2 linked regions of the Rhinolophus ferrumequinum genome follow. The protein of the gene in region 2 interacts with the protein of the main gene of each other region in a pairwise test. Links are inferred from orthologs where the notes say so. Each region holds a gene or a part of one and is shown on either strand. Other genes may lie near its edges.

What was found. The genes of interacting proteins can lie anywhere in the genome.
Region 1: the proteins of PAK5 (region 2) and INKA1 interact in binary tests that used the Homo sapiens proteins (3 or more experiments, as listed by UniProt). The two-hybrid records come from large-scale screens. The link is inferred for Rhinolophus ferrumequinum from reciprocal best matches to the Homo sapiens genes PAK5 and INKA1.

What each region holds. Positions count from the first base shown.
Region 1 is NC_046300.1:6,670,680-6,681,039, forward strand, and holds INKA1 (PAK4-inhibitor INKA1), read right to left. Parts: upstream 4,135-10,360; 5' UTR 3,989-4,134; coding exon 3,938-3,988; intron 3,175-3,937; coding exon 2,374-3,174; 3' UTR 2,340-2,373; downstream 1-2,339. Other genes in the region: UBA7 (ubiquitin-like modifier-activating enzyme 7), read left to right, coding at 1,204-1,296, 1,376-1,476, 1,945-2,074; CDHR4 (cadherin-related family member 4), read left to right, coding at 6,754-6,796, 7,154-7,338, 7,460-7,622, 7,698-7,789, 8,274-8,384, 9,010-9,116, 9,382-9,518, 9,809-9,992 and 1 more. UniProt on the Homo sapiens protein: Inhibitor of the serine/threonine-protein kinase PAK4. Acts by binding PAK4 in a substrate-like manner, inhibiting the protein kinase activity.
Region 2 is NC_046306.1:30,611,880-30,623,233, reverse strand, and holds the start of PAK5 (serine/threonine-protein kinase PAK 5), read left to right. Parts: upstream 1-6,289; 5' UTR 6,290-6,698; intron 6,699-11,354.

The sequences.
Region 1 (10,360 bases), on a different chromosome or scaffold from region 2:
TGGCCTGCCCCACTAGCTGAGTTAAAGGGTACTGAGCTCCCTGCTGCCACGGGTGTGGGGTCTGCAGCTCTGTGGGGATGTGTGTGTTCGCGTCACAGGTGTGAGTGTGCCAGGGTCTGGCCATCCCTGGCCCTGTGGCATGAGGGCATGGAGGGAGCATGCTTGCACATCTGTGTACCAGATGGGAGGGCAGGGCTCTCATAGGTGTCCATGTGAGTACATGTGTGGGTGTTCCTGGGCTTGTGTGCATGTGTTCCTTCGAGCACAGGGCTGTGAATGGCCCTGGCTGTGTGCCCAGGCTCTGAAGTAGTTGGTATTTCCTTGGGGCACAGGAGAGGGGATGGAGAGAATGTTCTCACCAGGGGTGAGGGGAGAAGGGGAGAGGTCATGGGCCAGCACTGGGTTTTTGCTGAGTAGCCCTGGGGTCCCTCAGGGCACAGCACACAGAGCCCCTTTGTGAGGGGCCCTGCCTCTAGTTAACACACAAGCTGCCTTTGTCCGTGGTGGAGGGGGAAGGGAGGTCCCCCATCTCACCTCAGGTCTTGCCTCTGCTTGACCCCACTGTATTTTCTGGGGGCTGGGCAGGGTCACCTGTCCTGGTCCCTGGCTGCCTGCCACCCTTCTGCCCTCAATTCCAGGCACCAGAACCCCAAGACTCTTGAAATAGGGAAGGAAAGAGGGGACAGGAAGAGGAGGCCTTTGTGGGCTGTGTCCCTGCTGGGGTCTCTGGGCCAGTGGGGCCTCAGTGGTCACTGTCTTCCTTGCCCCTGTGTGCCCATGAGTAGTCCAAAGCCCTGGCAGTACGGGACAAGGGGACAGGACGCCCCCCCCATTCCCCAGCTCCCGGCCTTGCATTTGAGGAATAAGCTGCTTTATCAGAGACTTCAACAGCCCTGCTCCTGCTTCCTCAGGAAGCGCCGCCCCCCCCACCCCCCCCCACAACCAGCTAGCGTGATGGATTGCTTGTTTCCCTGTGTGGGGGCCCCACAGCCCCATTTCCTGTGCTGGCCCCAGCATGGGGCGGGGAGGGTGCTGAGACTCTGGGCTCAGATCCCACCTTCCACCCCCACCCCCTGGCTTCTGCTTCCTGCCTCTAGTCCAGCTCCTTCTCTAGGAAAGGGGCCGTCAGCTCTGGTAACTGGGATAGGGGTAGGGTGTGTGTGTGGGAAGCTTCTCACTCCTCCCCCGCGCCCCCCACCACAGTTCCAGGACCTGAAGTGGACCTGTTGGGACCGCCTGAAGGTGCCTGCTGAGCAGCCAGAGAGGACCCTGAAGTCACTCCTGGCCTATCTCCAGGTGTGCCCCGTTCCTCCCGATCCCTGATCCCCACCTGGCCCAACCTGGCCCAGCTGTCACCTGACCTGTCTCTCTCTAGGAACAATATGGGTTGAAGGTGAAGATGCTGCTGCAAGGCACCGCCCTGCTCTACTCGGCAGGATGGCCATCTGAAAAGCAGGCCGCGCGCCTGCCCCTCAGGTGAGCCCGCACCTGGCTTTAGCCAGGCCTTGTTCTGTCCCTGGCCATTCGAAGTGGGGGACACAAAGCCTTTCCTCTTTCCAACCCCATTTGGGCCCCTCACACCTTCCTGAAGCTTTCTTTTGCCAAATGGAGCCAGCAAATGGGCTGGGGGTGGGGTGAGGGCCCAGAGCCTGAGGAGGGGCCTCCAGGAGCTGCCTGCTTGGCCAGCCCCAGCAGCGACTCCACACCCAGCTGAGCCCCCTTTCATAGCCCACTCCCAGGGGACTCGCAGCTTCCTGCCTCCTGCCTGCTCTGCCAGCCGCTCCGAAAATAGTTTCAGATGTTTCCTGTCTTGAGCTGCTCCTGCTCCTGACTCAGGCTCCTTGTGGCGTATCAGCACCTTCTAGCCCATGCCAGGGCACTCTCTGACTGGCACTGCTCACCTACCCAGTCTCCCCCAACCCCTTCCCCTCCTCCTCCCTCCAGGGTGACGGAACTGGTGAGGCAGGTGGCAGGCTGGGTGCCTGAGCCTGGGCAGCGGGTGCTGGTACTGGAGCTCAGCTGTGAAGGTGAGGACGACGACACTGCCTTCCCACCCGTGCACTATGAGCTGTGACACGGCAGCAACCCTACCACAGCAGTCAAGCGCTGCATCCTGAGCCCACAGTAGGCGCCCAATAAATGCTTATTGAAGAAAGGCGTTAAGTGGAGAGGAGGGGTGATGAAACACAGGGCAGTGACGCACATGGGCTGTGACAAGGGCACACAGGGACCCCTGGAGGGAGGGAAAAGGCTCTTTAGATTAACCTGCCTGAGCTGTGCCTCGTAGCCTAGGGCTGCCTCCAGGAGACTCAGGCATACGGAACCAGGACAGTGCAGAGAAAGGTCTTTATTGTCCCAGGCTGGAGGGCAGGGTCAGAGGTAGCTGACAACATCATTGCAGATGATGGGCTGGCGGCTGCGGCAGCTCATGAGGGCTGCAAAGCGTGATACGTCTGCAGGCAGTTCGGGTTCCGGGCGAGGTGGGCATGACAGTCGCTTTCCTGCCATAGTTGCCCGGCGGGCCCTGGCCAGCTGGCGCCGCAGCTGCTCAGAGAGGCCAAGCAGGAACTGGGGGGGGCGAGCACGGGCACGGGGCCCACCCCCGTTGTCTCCCTCACCTGCTGCCTCAGGCAGCTCCATCCAGTTGTGCACCAAGTCAGCAAAGCAATTGTCCCCCAGCACCAGGGGCTGGCGACTGCGACCTCTGCTCAGCAGGGCTGCTGTCCAGTCCTCAGTTTCCAGCCCCCGCCAGTGCTCCAGGCAGGCATCTGGGGTGGACTTGGGCCGTGGCCGCTGAGCAGGTGGTGCACTGGTCACTGGGGTCCCGCTGGATAGGGGGATGCCACTGGCTGAGAGGCGCTGTCTGTGGGGTCGCCATACTGGGGGTGCTGGATGCCGCAATACAGGTAGCTCCTCCTCTCTCCAAGTGCTGCCTGACACCTCAGAGAAGCCCGAGTCCCAGTCCAGGGCATGCTCTTTGGGGCCTCCTAAAGCTACACCCCTGTCTCTTGTCACCACACCTTCTTCCTCCTCTTCCTCCACACAGCAGACGGAGTCCTCTTCCAAGGTATCTGAGGGCCTGAGCCGGTGGCTGAGCCGGACACCTGGGCCAGGTTTGTGGGGTGGCTGAAGGGGGCCAGGCATTGGGGGTGATCCTGTGTCCCGGCCACACAGCTGTGGAAGAAGAGAGGGCAGAAGTCGGAGGGGCAGGCTTGTCATCCCTGCCTGCCTGGCCAGGCCCATCCTAGAACTGAAGGCCCAGGAGGACTGGACAGGCCTGCAGGCCTGGGCAGCAAGGCCTCTAGTGGGCACAGGGCATGGGGGTGCTGGCACACGAAGCTCGTGTGGCTCCCACAAGTCGACCTGGTGGCAGTCCGGCAGGCTGCAGCACGCAGAGCCAGGCAAGTCGGCACCCGCCACCAGGGCGGGAGGCAGGGTTGCGGGCCTGCATCGGGAAGTAGGTCCTGCTCAGGGCTGGGGGGAGGGGGGCATCCCGGGCCTCTTGAGAGATTCAGCTCCCCAAAGCCCACAGCGTCTTTCCGAGCAGGATAAAGCATTTGCCAGTTGGGAGATAGAGGAAGGAGGTACAGGCCAGCCTGGGATAGGAGGCATCCCCAGCAGCGCCAGCACCTCTTTAGTCCCTCGAAGCCCACTGTTCCACCCGAGAAGAAGTTTCTCTCCCCCACCCCCGCTCCCCAGCTCCCTTCGCTGCCCCGGCAGCACGGCCAGCTGGGCGGTTGTTACTTGATGCCCACTGCAACTCCCAACCGTCCGAAACCCGACGCGGGCCATCTGGGCCATCTGGGCCGCCCCGCCCCCATCCCGCCTTGGAAGAGCACTCCGGACGGCCCCCCCACTCGCGTGTCGTTCGGGCCGGACCGCAGCCGAGCACCCCACCACACGTGTCCTTGCAAGTCACACCGCTCCCAAGGCTCACCAGTTCCCAGCGGAGCTGGCCCAGGAAGCTGTCAAGCCTAGTGCAGTGCATGCCCGCGCCGGAGCTCCCGCCAGCCCTGCCAGTTCCTCTGCTAACTCCAGCGGGAGCCGTGCGGAGGGGGCCGGGCGGGCGGGCCGGCGGCGCCCTCACCCTCTGCCTGTTTCCGCGGCTCCTCGCTCTCCGTAGGTCCCGCCGCCGCCGCCCCAACATCTGGCAGCCGCGCCCCGCCCCTGGAGCCGCAGCCAATGGGGCCCGGGCGGGGCTGAAGTGGCCCCGCCCCTCGGGCCCGGCTGGGTGGGCGATGCCCACGCCCACTACCCACTAAGCTCCAGCTCTGGGAAGGCTGGAGGCAGTTCCACCCGGGACTCCCGGATGCCCCGGGCGGTTGAACTGACTCCGGGCTCACTGCGTGACCCAGAACAAGTCTCTTCCTCGCGGTAGCCTCAGCTTTCGCATTTTTCCTAGGCTAGAACTGCGGTCCCTCCCGCAGGGACCCCGTGGGCGCGCGGGTTCCCCGGCTGTGCCCATGGGGAACTGGCAGAGCACACGCAGTCGTCGGGCCGGCAGTGTAGTGGCCCACTGTGGGCCGGACCCTCTGGATCCGCTCCTGGAGCGGGCCTGGACAATCCCTGGAAGTGATGGGAGGACTCCGGGAGCGCGGGACGTCGCGGCAGCACGGGGCAGGGGCCTCAGCCAAGGCCGAGCCAGCACTCTCTCCGCCCGGCGTCTGGGCCAAGCTGGGCCGGGTCGCCCTCTAGTGGGGAGCGCGCGGTTAGCCGTGATTCCTGCCGCAACACCCGCGTCCTCTCCGCCTGGCATTACGAGCAGACTGAGAGTGCGTGCAGGGGCTTAGGGCGACGCTCTCTGGCGGGAATGGTCGGAGCGTGTTCCCTGAGGCGCTCCATGATTGCAGGCTACGTTCAAGGATACTGTCTCACTGGAGACGGACGAGTCAGTAGACAGAAAAACACCAGGGAATGAGGGCGACCAGCTAGCTTGGAAGAGAGGGCACTTAGAGGAGGTGGCATTCTGTATGGGATCTGGATGAGCCATCATGGGGAGATCAAGAAGGGACATTCTAGGCAGAGGGATCAGCCAGTTAAAGGCCCTGAGAGTCCAGGAGGAGAACAGGGCTTAACGTAAAGAGGTCCACGGGGTCTATGATGGTAGGCGTTGCAGAAGTGAAAAAGTCAGCAAAACCAGAAGCCTAGCAGCTTTAGAAAGGAATACATCTGGGGTTTTGTTCTTGGTGTGATGGGGAGCATTGAGGGCTATTGAGCAGGGAATAACCTGGGCTGGCTCCTGTTTAGATAATCCCAGCTACTTTGGGAGAACCACTCTGTAATCAAGGTGGAGACTCCTGCCCTCATCCATCAAGGGAGGGTAGGGCCTGGGCCTGGGTGGGGCTGGTGCACAGAAGGGGGTCACTTTGGGGTATGTTTTGGAGATAAAAACAAGCCTTGCTGATGCGTGAATATGAGTAGGGAAAGAGAGCATCAAGCATGACTCCTAGATTTCTGGCCTGAACATCTAGTTGGATGGGATTGTCATGAACTGAATCAGGAAAGATTGGAGAAGAGTGGGTTTGGGGAGGAAAATCAAATGATCATTTGTGGACATGTGACCCTGGAGATGCCTGTCAGACCTCCAAGAGGAGATGCAAGGGCAGCCACTGGGTGTGTGCCTCTGGAGTTTGGCAGAGAGATCAGCACTGAAGCTTTACATCTGGGAGGCAGGAGGAGTGGATGGTACGTAAAGCCACGTGCCTGGATGTGATGGGAGAGGTGAGTTTAGACAGGGGACGGCAGCCTGGATTGAGACCTGGAACACCCTGCTGGGTGGGGGTACGAAAGATGAAGCAGAACCAGCAAAGGAGCTAAGCAGGAGCAGCCAGAGAGGTGGGAGGTAGTAGAGAGTGTGGGCACTTAAGGAGTCACGGGGAACAAGTGTCAAATGCTGCCAAGGAAGTGAGCGTGGAGAATGAACTCTTGAATTCTGCAGTCTGCATATCTCTGTGGACCCTGACAAGGGCAGTTTCATGGAAAGAGGGACAAGCTTGATTGTAGTGAATAGAAGAGAGAGTGAGAGGTAAAGAAATGGAGAGAGCAAATGTAGACAGCTTTTTAAAAACTGACGTATAACATATATACAACGAATGGACAATTCTCAAAGATACAGCTCAATAAATGTTAACATCTGTAGACACTTGGGCAGCTATCACCGAGATCAAAACAGGATATCTCTAGCCTCTCCAGGAGGCCACTTGTGCCCCTTACAATTGATATCACCTAAAATAACTACTATTTGGTTTCTATCACCAAGGATTCCTTTTGCTTGATGAAGGTAAACAACTTTTGAGAGATTTTATTGATCATTCGGCTCAGATTCTGTAGGCAGATAATGTTCTAACAGTGGGCCGGGGGGAGGGGGGGTGCAGCTGGAGTTCAGATTCTGTGGGGTAGCAGGGCCTGGGCCCAATTTTCCTGGGTACTGTCTTGCTCTGTCTCCAAGGACTACATGGCCAAGACTTCCCTGAGCCTTGGTTTCCTCATCTGAAGCTGGTTCTTTTCTCACATCTCCTTCAGGTTTTAGTAATGAATAGGGAAATTTATTGGGAGCAGTGGGAAAAATGGGGCCTCTGGGCGCCTGTCTGGAATCTAGAGCTCAGTCACCAGGGCTGGGTGGGACTGCAGTCTGGGAGGCTCAGGAGTCCTGCCTACCCAGTGTGTTTGACAACCCACCTGGCAACGGGGCGGGCCCAACAAATACGGCTGGCCTTCCAGAGTCTCCTCTACTGTCTATCTCTTGAGGACAGTATGGTACTGAGGCCCCTGGTACTTCTTGCCCTGGTCGTCTCTGGTGAGGAGCTGGTGGGTGGGGAACCCGAGGTTTTACCTCTCTGCTCCACAGAGGAGTGGAGTCCTGACCCTCGTCAGATAATCTACCATGGAGGGCAGGGGCTGGGGGGTGGGAGCCAGGAAAGGGCAAAGATCTGAACCCCTGACCCTCATTCTTTTCTTGGCTGCTTCCTCGACCAAATCCTCACTCCCCGTCTGTGAAATGAGCTGACTCATTGTTGGATGTGGGGGACAAGGAAGGGCTTTGTCTGCTTGGTCCCAAGATGTGGCTAGACTCTGGCAGAAGGGCAGGACTATGCTATTGTGTGTGGTTCCATGAGCTTGGGTGGCCTCCAGCCTTATCGTCTCTTCCTCATAGACCTCTACTGCCTGCCCGCGTCCGTAAATGTCTTTGATAGCCAGGGACCTGGCACCGTTCTTCAGTTTTTCACTTTTAACTGCTCTTCTTACACGCCTACCCTGAAGTTGCTCCGTGTGCAACCACACACCACCTTCTTCAACCCACCCAGCTTGACCAGGTGGCAGGGGATCTATGTGGGCAAGGTAGGGTCATGGACACAGCTGGGAACCATGGAGAAACAAGCTCAGACCCTAAATTCACAAAGCCAGGGGTGGTATGGGCAAGGGAGAGCCTGGGCCCCATATCACTGCCCACCTGCTACAGGTGACCTTGAGCAGCTCGGCCAGGTTGGATGCCCTGGCAGTGAACCATTATGAGCTGCAGCTGCAGTTCACATGTGGCAACTATGTGATGGAGGGACCACTCTCTGTGGATGTGCAGCGGGACGCTGGCCATATTCAGTGTGCTGGCCGATTTGCCAGCCCAGGTGAGCCCAGGGCAGCAGGCAGTGGGTGGGCAGGCATGGCCTGAACAGAGCCTCCCTGACCTTCCCTCTGGCCAGCTGGGGAAATCATTCAGGTGCCGGAAACAGTCACACCTGGGGCCCGGCTGTACACTCTGCTGCTCCCAGGCCTGGAAATCCAGGGAGCCCAGGTGAGCCCAGCACATGGGCAGTGGGGGCAGAATGGGGGAACACAGGGAAACCAAGCCCAGCCCCTGCTTGGCCAAGCGCAGCCTGCAGAGGGACCCTTTAATGTACAGCTGAGCCTCTGCATGATACATGTTCTTGGAGACAGCCACAGAGGGCTCCCATCCCCCAGTGACCATGGCTGTTCTTACAGGAAACTCTTAGGGGCTGAGTTCTTTCAAGTTCTGTGTGTATTGAATTCTCCATGAAAATTCTGTATCACGTTTGTAATCCAAAAAGTAAATGTAGTTTAAAAAACAAAAGAAATAATTTAAAAGCAGAAAGGATTGAGGATCGGGGCCCGGGGACCCCAGGCTAGGGTAAGTGTCAGTGGTGGGGTATGGTATAGTTGGGTGTGGGGAGGTACCTGCTGGACCGTTGGGGATTTTGACAGGGATGCTTGGGGCACTGGGGCTAGGGCTGGGGCCTCCAGCATCTCTGTCCTGTCAGATGAGCATCACCAGTGCCCAGGAGCCTCCGTATTTCCCTGGACCTTTCTCCATCAATGGGCAGGGTTGGCTGCAGGCACCACCCCAGGGCCTCAAAGGCCAGGCTGGAAAGGTGAGCATAACTTGGGATCTGGGTACATCCATGGATCGGGCAGAGCCACCACCTCCTGGAGTTTTGCTTGGTCTCTTTGGCCTCCTCCATATGCTGCCTCTCCCAGACACAGCCCACACCTGCACCTGCTGCCCCATTCTGACTGTCCTCCCACCTTGGTCTGGTTCTGTGGTGGGCTCTGGAGTTCCAGAAAGAAGAGAGATCCCTGGTTTGGGGAGCTCACGGTGCCTTAAATAGAAAGGAGAGAGTTCAGAGCAGGCACACAGGAAGGGAAAGTTCTGGGTAAAGTGTCTAGTGCAGACTGAAGGAGGGAAGTTCCTTCTTGAAAACTTCCATGTCTTGTACCTGACTCTTAGCCACTCGAAGATAAGTCATATTGTGAACGACTCCGATATCACTCTTTTGGGGGCTGTTTGCATCCTAATAGAAGGATTTGTGGCCCAAAAGAATGGGACTCAAAGGAATACCTGTCAGCAGAGTGACAGGTGTTGGGGAGGAGTGAGCAAGCGTTGGGGCTCCTTGTGGTGATCCTGAAGGGATTATCTACTTGAAGGGAAGACTGAGCATAGACATACAGGTAGACAGATGCACACCGGGGTTCCTTTCCTGTTTTGTGCCACCACAGGTCTTCCGGCTTCAGATCCTGGTGACCTTTGGACAAAACCAAAGCTGCGGAGGGATGCTGATGGTGAAAGTTTTGCCTGCCCCCTCCTCCGGCCAGGTGTCCTTCCTGTAAGGCTTCTGTACCCTGGGACAGTGTACTGGGTACAGAAGGAGGCAGGGCCTAGCCCCAGGGAAGTAGAAGTAGGTTAAAGTGGGGCTGCTGGAGCGTCCCAGCTAGCCCGAGTCTGAGGGAAGTCCCAGCGGAGGCCTGAGGACCGGGCGGGGTGGGGTGTACGTGGCGGGGGGGGGGGGGGGGGGGGGGGGGAGGGGGGGAGGGAGGGGCGGAAGGGGGACACGGGATCCGGCAGGAGCCAGTGGCCCCCTTTTGGTTCAGGGAACAGGAACAGAATATCACCATTCCGGAGGACGTGGTTCCTGGGACTAAGGTGGTTCAGGTCCAGGCTCGGGGCTTCGACGTGCGCTACGAAATCCTCTCTCCCGTGCCCTGCCGGCTCTTCTCCATCGGACGCGGTGAGGGGTGTGGAGCGGGGGTACGAGGATGCCTCTGAGGCTGGTTCAGAGGTGACCTGCGCTACCTTCTCGCTATCCTGAGAAACGAGGCTGGAGCCGAGGCAGAAAATGGGTCGAGGTCGCGTTTGAGGGCTGGGCGGGAGTTACAGAGGCGCTTTGGCGGAGGTGACGCGGGGGGCCAGCCAGGCTCAGCGCCCTCCGCAGACAGCGGTTCGGGTGGGCGGGTGGGGACCCAACTGAGCTGGAGGCGGAGCCGAACTCTGCGTCCCCCACCCTCTCACGCCTCCCAGCGGACGGCGTTATCCGGACCACGGCGCCCCTGGAGCTGGCGCCGGCCGCAGGCTCGGCGGTCACCGCGCTGCAGGTGAAGGCCTTCGAGCGGCTCCGGCCGTGGGCCAGCGTTGAGCTCGATCTCACTGTGACCGTGCGACCGGTCAACCGCTGGCCCCCGCGCTGCCTCCCAGCGCTGCTGATGTGAGTACACCCGAGCCTTACCTTGGCCATTGGGAGGACTGACGGCTCGCGGCCGGGCCCGACTCCCACCCTGCCGCCGGCGCTCTGCTCCCAGGGCTCAAATCCCCGAGACCGCGCCTGTAGGTACCGTGCTGAGAACCTTTACTTGCGTTGACCCGGACTCTCCTGGCTCAACCCTTGACTACCAGCTGCGATTCCACAGTCCTCCTGGCCCAGCCAGCCTCTGTCTCAACGACGGGGTCCTGGAGGTGACCCTCCCCCAGACCCACGTGCAGGGTGCTTGGGAGGGGATGGGGGGTGGGCCAAGAGTCTGTGGGAGCTGAGACCATAGGGGTGAAGGAGTGGTGGTGGAGCCTACCTGCTTGGCA
Region 2 (11,354 bases):
CAGTCTGTAGCTTGTCTGTTTATCCTCTTCATGTGGGCTTTACCAGACAATACATTTTTAATTTTAATGGGGTTTAACTTACCAGTCTTTCCTTTTATTATAGACTATGGTTTCAGCTTCAAGTCTAAGAACTCTTTGCCAGACCTAGATTCTGAAGATTTTCTCCTATGTTTTTTCTAGGATTTTTATACTTTTATATTTAGGTCCATGATCTACTTTTAGTTAATTTTTGTAACACTCATCTTGTTTTTGCAACCATAACCACTATCCATTTCGAGAACTTTTTTCTTGTCCGAAATTGAAACTGTAGCCATTAAACAGTAATTCCTTCTCCCTGACACTTCCCTCTACCTCTGGTAAACACTATTCTACTTTCCATCTCTATAAATTGGCCTATTCTATATGCCTTATATAAGTGGAACCACACAATATTTTGTCCTTTTGTGTTTGGCTTACTTCACTTAGCACAGTGTCTTCGAAGTTCATCTATACTGTATTATGGGCTGGCACAAAAGTAATTATGGTTTTGCAATTATTTTTAACCTTTTAAACCGCAATTACTTTTGCACCAACCTAATAACCTGTATCAGAATTTCATTGCTTTTCAAGGCTAGATAATATTCTATTGTATGTATATTTTGTTTTATCCATTCATCTGTCAGTGAACATTTGGGTTGTTTCCACCTTTTGACTATTGTAAACAAAGCTGCTGTGATTATTGGTGTAAAAGTTTAAGTCCCTGCTTTCAATTCTTTTGGATATATACCCAGATGTAGAATTGTTGGATCATATGTTAATTCTGTTTAAATTTTTGAAGAATAGCCATACTATTTTTCATAGTGGCTATATCATTTTGCATTCGCAATGCACAAGGGTTCCAATTTCTCCACAGTCTTGCCAACATTTCTTTTCTTTTTTTTTTTTTTTTAATATGTGTATCACCATCCCAGTGGGTATGAGGTGGCTTCTCACTGTGGTTCTGATTTGCATTTCCCTGACTACTGATATTGACCATCTTTTCATGTGCTCATCGGTCATCTGTATATCTTCTTTGGACAAATGTTTATTCAAGTGCTTTGGTCATTTTTAAATTGGGTTTTGTTGTTGTTTTTATTGAGTTTTAGGAGTTCTTTAATACTCTGGACATTAGTCTCATCAAATATATAGTTTGCAAATATTTTCTCCCATTCTGTGGATTACCCTTTCACCCTATTGATTGCATCCTTTCCACAGAAGATTTTCATTTTGATGTAGTTCAGTTTATCTAATTTTTCTTTTGATTTCTGTGCTGTTCATGTCATATACAGGAAATCATTGCTATATCTAATGTCATGATGATTTTTCCCTATGTTTTCTAGTTTTAACTCTTATGTTCAGATTTTTAAAATACATTTTAAGTTAATTTCTGTATATGGTATAAGCTAAATGTCCAACTTCATTCTTTTTTACATGGACATCCAGTTTTCCCAACATCATTTGCTGAAAAAGTTGTTCATTCCCCATTAAATGGTCTTGGCACCCTTGTCAATAATCATTTGACCATATATGTGAGGATTTATTGCTGGGCTTTCTATTTTATTCCATTGGTCTTTATGTCTATCTTTATGCCTGTGCCACACTGTTTTGATTACTGTAGCTTTCTAGTAAGTTTTGAAATCAGGAAGTATGAGTCCTCCAGCTTTGTTCTTTTTCAAGATTGTTTTGGCTATTTGGGTCCTTTGAGATTACATATGAATTTTAAGATAGATTTTTTTCTATTTCTGCACAAAACATCATTGAGATTTTTCTAGGGATTGCGTTTGGTAGTACTGACATCTTAACAATATTAAGTCTTCTAATCCATGAACATGTATGTTATGCCTTTTCATTTATATATGTCTTTAATTTCTTTAACAACATTCTATAGTTTTCAGTGCACAAATCTTTCACTTCTTTGATTATATGAATTCCTAAGTATTTTATTGTTTTTTATACTATTGAAAATGAAATTATTTCCTAATTTCCTTTTTGGATTTTTCATTGTTAGTGTATAGAAATGCAACTGATTTTTGTGTGCTAATTTTGTACCTGCAACTTTGTTGAATTCATCTATGCTGACTTTTTTTTGGTATGGAATCTTTTGGGTTTTCTACGTACAAGATCATATTTTCTGCAAACAGAAGTAATTTTACTTCCGCCTTTCCAATTTTTATGTCTTTTATTTCTTTTTGTTGTTTAATTGTTCTCACTAGAACTCTCAGTACTATGTAGGTAGGAGTGGCAAAAGTGGTCAGCCTTGCCTGTTCCTCCTGATCTTAGAGGGAAAGATTTCAGTCTTTCACCACTGAGTATGATGTTAGTTGTGGGGAGGTTCATTTTTTGCCTACGAATATCTAGTTGTTCCAGCACCATTTGTTGAAAAAGCTATTCTTTGTCCATTGAATTGCTTTTTGCACCTTTGTCAACAATGAGTTGGTCACATTTGTGAGTCTATTTCTAGGTTCTTTGTTTTGTTTCATTGATCTACATGTCTATCCCTCTGCAAATATCACACTGTCTTGATAACTGTAAAGCCTTAATATTAGAAAAAGTGGTTCTTCCCATCTTATTCTTCTTTGTCAAGTTGATTAGCTATACTAGAGCCCATGTCTTTCCATATAAATACTAGAATAAAGTTGACAATTATACAAAATCACACTGAAATTTTTATAGGAATTTAAGTAAACATTTAGATAAATTTTGGTGAAATTGCTATCTTTACTATACTAAATCTTCTAATTCATGAACACAGTATGTTTCACCATTTATTCAGGTCTTCTTTGATTTGTTTCATTGGTATCTTGTAATTTTTAGCATACAGATCCCATACATGTTTTATGTGTATACCTAAGTATTTCATTTTGTTTGGAGCAAATGTGAGTGGCATTGTGTTTTAAATTTTATTTTCTGCATGTATAGCAAAATAAAGTTGACTTTTGTGTGTATATGTTGTATCCTGCAAGTTTGCTGATCTCACTTGTTAGTTTTAGGAGTTATTTTTGTAGACTTTTTTTTTTTTTTTCATTTTCTATGTAGATAATCGTGTCATCTGCAAATAGAGACAGTTTTATTTATTCCTTTCCAATCCAATGGCTTTTACTTGTTTTTCTTGTCTCATTGTAGTGGCTAGAATTTCCACTACTATGTTGAACAAGATGGTGGAAACAGACATGTTAGCCTTGTTCCACATCTTAAAGGAAAAGCAGTCAGTCTTTCACCACTAAGTTTGATGTTAGCTAGGTGTTTTTTTTTTTTGTAGTCAGTTTAAATAAAGTTGAGGTAATTCTTCCCTATTCCTAACTTGCTGAGAGTTTTTAATCGTGAATGCATGTTAGAGTTGTCATATATTTTTTCTGTATCAATTGATATAATCATATTTTTCTTTCTCAGTTTGTTCGTATGGTGGATTATATTAACTAATTTTTTAAATGTTAAACCAGCCCTACATTCCTGATCATCATACGCAATTCTTTCTGTACATTGTAACATTTGGTTTGGTAATTTTTTTGAGGATTTTTGCATTAAAGTTCAAAAGACATAGTTGTCTGTAGTTTTGTTTCCCCCCTACTGTGCTTATTTAATTTTAGTATCAGGGTGATACTGGCCTCATAAAATAAGTTAGGAAGTACATCCTCCTCTTCTATTTTCTAGGGGAGATAGTGTAAAAGAAGCAAACTCAGGAGGTTCCAGGGGAAATCTGATACTGGCCCCCATATAGAGAGGGCAAGGAGAACTAAGAAAGAGGCAGATTGATAGGTGGCAATTTTAATAAGCAAGGAAACTTACGAGGAGGCTTGTCTTGGGCTGCAAGATGAGTAAATCTCTGTACCCATTCTCTAGAATCTTAAAAGTTTATATAGAGGCCTTAACTGGGTTCAGTCTTGTATACTCTCCAGATGGTCTCAACAATACATTACTCTATCAAGGTCATATCCTTGAAGCCAGTTCCTACTGTGGGAACAGAGGGCAGAGAGTACATTCCAAGGACATGGGAGGGATGAGGAGCCTCTGATTGCCCAGTTCCAGCTCATGGGTCAACCGGTGGTCACATTCTCTCAATGACTTCTCTAAGAACTCCCAATGGCTGATTAAAGGTTATTTTATTTTCCAACTTTTAAATCTCTGGATAAATCCGTCTACTTTGTGTATTCAAAAATGATATATTCAATAAATGTATTATGTGGACTAAGTAATGTATTATGCAGATCCCCCTTAAGTGAAGGACCTGTTACCCCAGCTTCAGGGACTACTGCTGAGGGAAGGCCTTTAGCTGTTCTCTTCTTCAGAGATTGCCTCAGCTTCAGAGAGCTGCCTCAAGTTCGTGCCCTTTCCAAGATATTTCACACTCAATGATTACTGTTAGTATAAAAAGGACCAGACAACTCAAACTAACTTGGGACAATTCTGAAGGGTCATCCTAGCTCCAGAGCTTCCTGGAGTGCTGGTGGCCAATACTGTCATTGGCCTGCATCATAGATTGACTTCTACCACTGCCCACTTGTTTCCTGTATCTCACACCCACAGGTGTTGGTCCTTAATCAACATCTTGCCTGCTAAATTCTCAAGAAATTGCGTTATATAAAAAGAAAACACCTCGGACTTAATGCAGTGTAATATTTACAGAAATAGTACCATTACTCGTTTATGTTTACCTTGTATAACTCCTAAATGAATTTGAGGAAACTAACAATAATCACAGTATTTAACCAGTAAAAATAACCACACAAGCGCAAGCTTTATCTATAATAGCAAAGTTGTTTTAAGTGATTAAAGCTCAGTAATACAAAGCCAAATTTTAATTGATACCAATCAATCACAAATAAACAACACTTCTATAAAATATTTTGGAGCTTTTGCATCTGTGCCAGCACACATAAAAGAAAGTCAAATATAGAAAATATTTATGCAAATAAAAGTGTGGGTGGTGGGTTGGTAGTTAGGGCGGTGTGAGTTGCTTAAAGAATAAGAAATGGATTTAGAGATTCTTATTCATTTAAACATAAAAACAGAGTACAATGTACCAGGACATATTTATCCTTTATACAGAGAAATATTGAGGGAGAAAAGTAAGCATACATTTATCATATGGTTCCTGTTTTCATGTGGCAGCTACTACACTGAGGGTATTGAGTGAATGGAAGACAAGCAAGAAGGAAGTGACATATATGATACTATTAACTAGAAAATTGTTTAGAGTTGTTGAGTATAATAGAGTACCAATATATACAAACTCTTATTTATAATCTGCTATCCAGTTATGGGGTCAGATACTATGTCACTGACTCATGAGGGTACTGTTAGGGCATCTGGAGATAGACTTCTTCGTTTCCAAAACTCATGACTGGTTTTGTGAATCTCTGTCTCTCACTGTGGTGTGGATAGTGAATACTCTTGACAATGCTGGAGCCTTTGAGGGTTGGGAAGGGAGGGGGCAACAAAGGGGTTTAAGATGAATCACAAGTTATCTCTGCAAGCTTCAGTTCAAACATCACTCATCAGAAAGCTCGGTCAACTCTTGGTACATAAACACTCTACTCTTATCAGTCTTCTTAAATGGACAAGTCCAGTCTTACCCTTACATGTATAATAAATTGACACTGATGCAGCGTCTGAGTTTTTGTCTCAGTTCAGGAAAGGCAGGGGAACAGCCAAGGCAGACTAGTTCCGACTTTAGAGGCTCAACTAACAACTAGTTTGCTATCCCCTAGCAAAGTGAGCAAAGAGATCAAGGCACATATTTTCCTCTAGGCCACAAATTCTGTCAGAAAGTAGCCAGTTTAGGCTGCTTGTGGAGCTCAGCCCTACTGAGATTCCTGCCAAGGCGGCACAGCAACCCCCGGGGGTACCTTCACTTAGCGGCCACACTACTTGTGGACACCAGAGACCATTTCTGGACCAGGAGGTAAGAGTGGGGTTCTCTAGATCCTTGCTACTCAAGTGTGGTGGCAGGACCTGCATGCAGCATCACATCACCTGGGAGCATGTTTAGCTAGTAGAATCTCAGGCCCCCGGCCAGACCAACTGAATTTGAATCCACATGTTAATTCACAGGCACATTGAAGTTTGAGAAGCTTGTGTCCAGGTGGTAGCCATGAGGCTAGCGGAAGGATCTGTCTCCCAGCCCCGCCCCTCCTACTCTTGGCTCGCCTCTTAAGCAAATCTCAGCCCTGCATTGGTCCTGCACAAAATTTCTGCAAAACCGGAGTGTGTGGGGAGGAGGCTTGCAGGAGCTGCCCTCGCCTGGGAGGATAGAGGATAAGTGTGACTGGATGAGGAAAAGGCAGCTTTCTCCAGCTCGGGGCTCAGCGGAGTGTAGACACTCCCCCGACCCTCCCCCGACACCTCTCTACTCTCACCCCCAGCAGCTGCTACCGCCGGCTTGCCGCCGGTTGCCACGAAAACCCGGAACAGCTGCGTGTGATCACGGAAAGTCCTCCTAGGGGCGACGCTGGGGAGCTGGGCATGCTCAGTAGCTGGGGGAGGCTTGGGTGGAGAGTAGAAAGCTTTGGCTGCGCCTCCCACCCCCTCCCGCCGGCCCCCGCCCCCTTGCCCCTACCCAGACCGTAGTAGTTGCCCGGCGTGCGCCCGGGGAGACCGGGAACATGGCGCTCCTAGCGATGTAGCAGCCGAGGCGGCGAAGGGGATGAGGCACCGCCGTCTCGCTGACAGCCAGCCACCAGGTAGGCAGGCGCGCCTGGCGGGGCTGCCTGGGTGGATGTGGGCACGGGGAGGGGCGCTTGCGAGGATGCGCACGGCTGGGACCCGGGGCATCTTCCTTTGCCCGGAAAGGATGCGAAGCGGACATCTGTGACAGCGCGCAATTGTGCATCTCCTAGGAGATGTCAAAGGCTGGGGACCGGCTGCCTGGAAGGAAGGGATCCGGGGACCGCCCCGCGCCTCCCTCCCACACACCCACCCATGCGCTACCATCCAGCCTTGGCTCTCTCCACCGGTCAAATAAAGGATAGTTCCTTTATGCTGGGTGGGAGGGCGTGGGGGAGAACGCCGGATACCAGTATTGGGAGTGCGTTGGTCCCCCCAGACCGCTAGCAAGCCCAGCACCAGTTCTTTGTGTATAACAGCCGCACACGCCCGGGGGTGTCACGGTGCCTGCATCTCCTGAGGAGTGTTGGACATATTGCCAGGGCAGGATTCCCGTACGGTTTTTGTCTCTTGGCAGGTATAGACTGGAAGATGCAATAGCTGAGTCCCTTTGGGGCTGTGTTTTCCTTTGTTACTTGCCTTGGTGTGTGTGTGCGCGCGCGTATGGGTGCGTGGTAGGTTTTAATGGAGAGAGAACTTCTGCTCATGGGCACAGGTGTGGGCAGAGCGTGGAAAAGGATCTAGGTTCCAAACTCTTGTCAAAATTCAGTGTTATGTCGGCCTCCCGTAGGGCAAACTTGAACAGTCCAGAGATGAGAGCCCAGTTTGGAGAAGCGTGTTAGCCCTTCTTGAACCCATGTTTGTATATTTGGAGCTTTAAACATGGGACACAAGTTAATTCAACATTAGATATCAATTAAGGGAATTGGAAGCATTGGGGCTATCTGTTGTGGGCTTTTTAAGGCCAAATTAATAAAGAAAAAAAGTTGGCACAAAGCCAGAGGTAAGTGTCCTCCTTAATAGTTGATGACAGCTTAGAAAGCTGAATGCACTTTGGGGGAAATCAGGAAACCTGGCATTCCACAGAGTTCTGTCAAGAAGTATGTCTTAGGTAACTAACTCAGGAACCCCTCACCACATCCTTTGCTCTTTTGGGGTCTGGTAGCATGTTAACACTCTTTCTTACCCGAGTCCAAATGTACTAGATGTTACTACAATTCTATGAAATTGACACCCCATAATAACATTTCTGTCACCTTATATTTGTATATCTGTTATATTCAGCAGCACAACTCACTCGGTTAGGAAGGGAAGGTAAATTTAGAATATGCTTTTATTTTTTGCTTTATAATTTAAAGAATGGACATCTGCGACTACAAAGTTTAGACACTTCCCTCTGTACATACAGTCTTTACTTTATGGTCTCCTTAGGTAGCAAAAATTAGTCAGTATCATCAAAATGAAATGGGAAATGCTTGAAGAAAATGCATTTAAGTAAATTAAAGTCATAAATGTCCAATCTGATAGTATCTTGACTTGGAATACATATGTGCAAAGCAGAAGCACAGCTAATGGAAGCAATAGAAGTTGATGGGCTTAGAATAAAAATTTTCTATTCCTGTGTGAATGTGTTGATTGTATTAGGTCCCTGTAATTTGTTATTTTGTAAATAAATGTGAGTTTTAATTGCAGGCATTGAAAACACATTTGGCAGTGCATCCCCTCCACTTTGTCAGTTTGCTAAAATGCTGCAAGTGTGAGAAGCGGGAGTTCTAGGTTTTGGTATCATCTTGGTGATGAGACAGACCTGAGTTTGAGCTTAGACTCTCCTGATTTTAGCTTTGTGATCTTGGGCAAGTTATTTAACTTTCCCAAGCCTCAGTTTCCTCACCTGTAAAACAAGTCTAGAAAGACTTTAGGTACGTAAGACCTACCTAAATGGGTAGCTGTGTAGATTACTCATAATATGAACTATTAAGAAATTGGTGGTGACCGTTATAAGAGAAAGGGAAATGGATGTTTATCCTGTACTGTGTGCCCTGTTTTATGCTAGTCAGATTCAAATATGTGATCTCCTTAATGTTCCAACTCTATTAGTTTGCTAAGGCTGTGATAACAAATTACCAAAAACTAGGTTGCTGAAAACAACAGGAATTCATTCTCTCACGGATCTGGAGGCTAGAAGTCCAAAATCAAGGTATGGACAGGGCCAAGCTCCCTCTGAAGCCTCTAAGGGAGGATCCTTTCTTGCCTCTTCAAGCTTCTGGTAGCTGCTGGTGTTCCTTGACTTGTGATAGCAGAACCGCAGTCTCTGCTTTCATCTACTGTTTCCCGAAAATAAGACCTAGCCGGACCATCAGGTCTTGCATTATAGTAAAATAAGACCCAGTCTTATATAATATAATATAATATGATATAATATAATATAATATAATATAATATAATACCGGGTCTTATATTAATTTTTGCTCCAAAAGACGCATCAGAGCTGATGGTCCGGCTAGGTCTTATTTTCAGGGAAACAGGGTATCTTCATGTGGCAAAGTTCCCCCTTATAGGGAGGGACATCATTCATATTGGATTAGGGCCTACCCTAATTCAGTATGACCTCATCTTAACTTGTTACATCTGCAAAGACCTTATTTCCAAATGAAGTCATATTTGTAGGTTCTGGTTGGATGTAAATTTGGGGTTGAGGGGGAACACTATTCAGTGCAGTACGCCTACATCCCTATGATCGTGTTTAATGACAACACTAATATTATGTCAGCACACATGCAGAAGGTAGAAGTAGTATCAGTTCAAAAAAATACTTTAAAGGTTATTTAATCCAGCTAACCTATTTCAGGTTTTATTTACCCAACCATGGTAGGGAAGAATAGCATTCAAGCATACCTCATTTATACAACTGTCACTTATCTGGAAACCCAGACAATCTAGGATCTCAGTGTAGTTCAGGTAATATAGCTGACATACCCTGTCTCAAATGGATTTGTTAATGTTGTCTCCTTTTTGCTACCCTACCAATAGAATACAAACAAACGACAGAAAACCAAATTAAACAAAAATGGCAACAGCAACAAAAACGCCCCAATCTTAACATCTTTCTAAGCTTTCTTATCCTGGTAAATGGCACCACTATCCTTAGAGTTGTTTTAGCAAGAAATTTAAGAATCATCTTTGATAACTTCGGAGATTTCCTTTGCCTTCTACATCTAAAACTGTGACAAAATCTTATAAATTCGTCTTCTACTTATATTGCTAAATATATCTTGATAGATTCTTCTTTCCATCCCCACCATCAAACTTTAAATCGTCATCTCTCACCTGGATTATTAGTGTAATTTTCTAAAAAGGCCCCTGTTTGCTTGCTTGGTCCCTCCAATCCTTCATCCAGAAAAGATAGGATCATGTCAATCCCTGCATAAAATGTATCCACATGCTTGGGAGACATTCCCCAGACTCTCATAGCCTTGGGTACTTGGTCTGCCTCGGTCTCGGGCACCTCTTCCTCTTGGCTGCTGTCACACTGATCAGTGTGACAGTGTGTTTCTTGAATATCAGTGTGTTTCTTGAATTTCCTGTCTCTTTCTTGAATATTCCAGCCACTTCCCCCTATACTTTGCCAGTCCAAGCTGTATTCATCCTTTGGGCCTCTTTGATTTCCCTTCCCCATAACAAATCTTTCATTACCCTTCTACTTTTCATCCATAGCACTTATTACCTATTTATTTGTTTGCCTATTTACTTAATGTCTATAAGCTCTGTGATGGCCATTTATTTTGTGTTTTGCATGTAGATGCTCAATAAATATTTGGCGAATGAGTGAAGGAATGAATACTCTTCCTCATAGCATTTTTATGTGCCAATTTAAAGATCTGAGTTTTTAGCAAATTTTTGTTTTTTTTACTAGTATAAAAAGAGCAATTTAGAATCTCATTCTGACTTCAAAAGAGTAGTATTCTTGGCTTTTAAAACTGCCTATCCTAAGAATTGGTTTTATGCAAGCAGTTAAGAATTGAGTCAAAATATTTTCTAGCAATTGAACATTTTGCAAAAATACATCAGTCAGTCAACAAATATTTTGGAAATGTTTGTTGGACATCTATGTTTGCCATTTTAGGCCCTAGGAAGACAATGGTGAACTAGACTTTTAGCCTTCTAGAGATTAATAATAATAAATAATAATATTATGTGTAATAATAATTAATAACATTATTTATTGAGCTTCTGTTATATGCCAGGTTCTCATCAGTCCCTATCCCTACTTGTTACTATAACTAGTCCTCCAATTTTTCTCAATAACACAGAACCCAAATCAGATGTATAACAGATATTTGGTAGATATAATAATTGGTAGATTCTATTATCCTGATCTTTTAAAATAGAAAATATGTTTATCTGGGGACAAAGGAATCTGCTCATGCAATTGCTTTCTGAATATATCTAGGTGGGCCCTGTTCTGCTTTAAAACATCATTCTGCCTATTGTCTCTGAGGTTAAAATAAGAGACAAATGGCTCTTCATATGAGGACAGTTTCCAGGTGTGTTTCTTTGCCTTTTACAGTAGTCAAAATTCTTCATTACCAGCTGAATTGTTTTATTTGTCTTGTTTAATCTAAGTGAGAAGTGACTTAATGTCTCTCTCATTCAGAGCTCTTTTTGGTAGTTTTGAATTGCAAGACTGAGTACCCAACGGAAATGAATGGGGTTCAACAATGGAGCACAGGTTA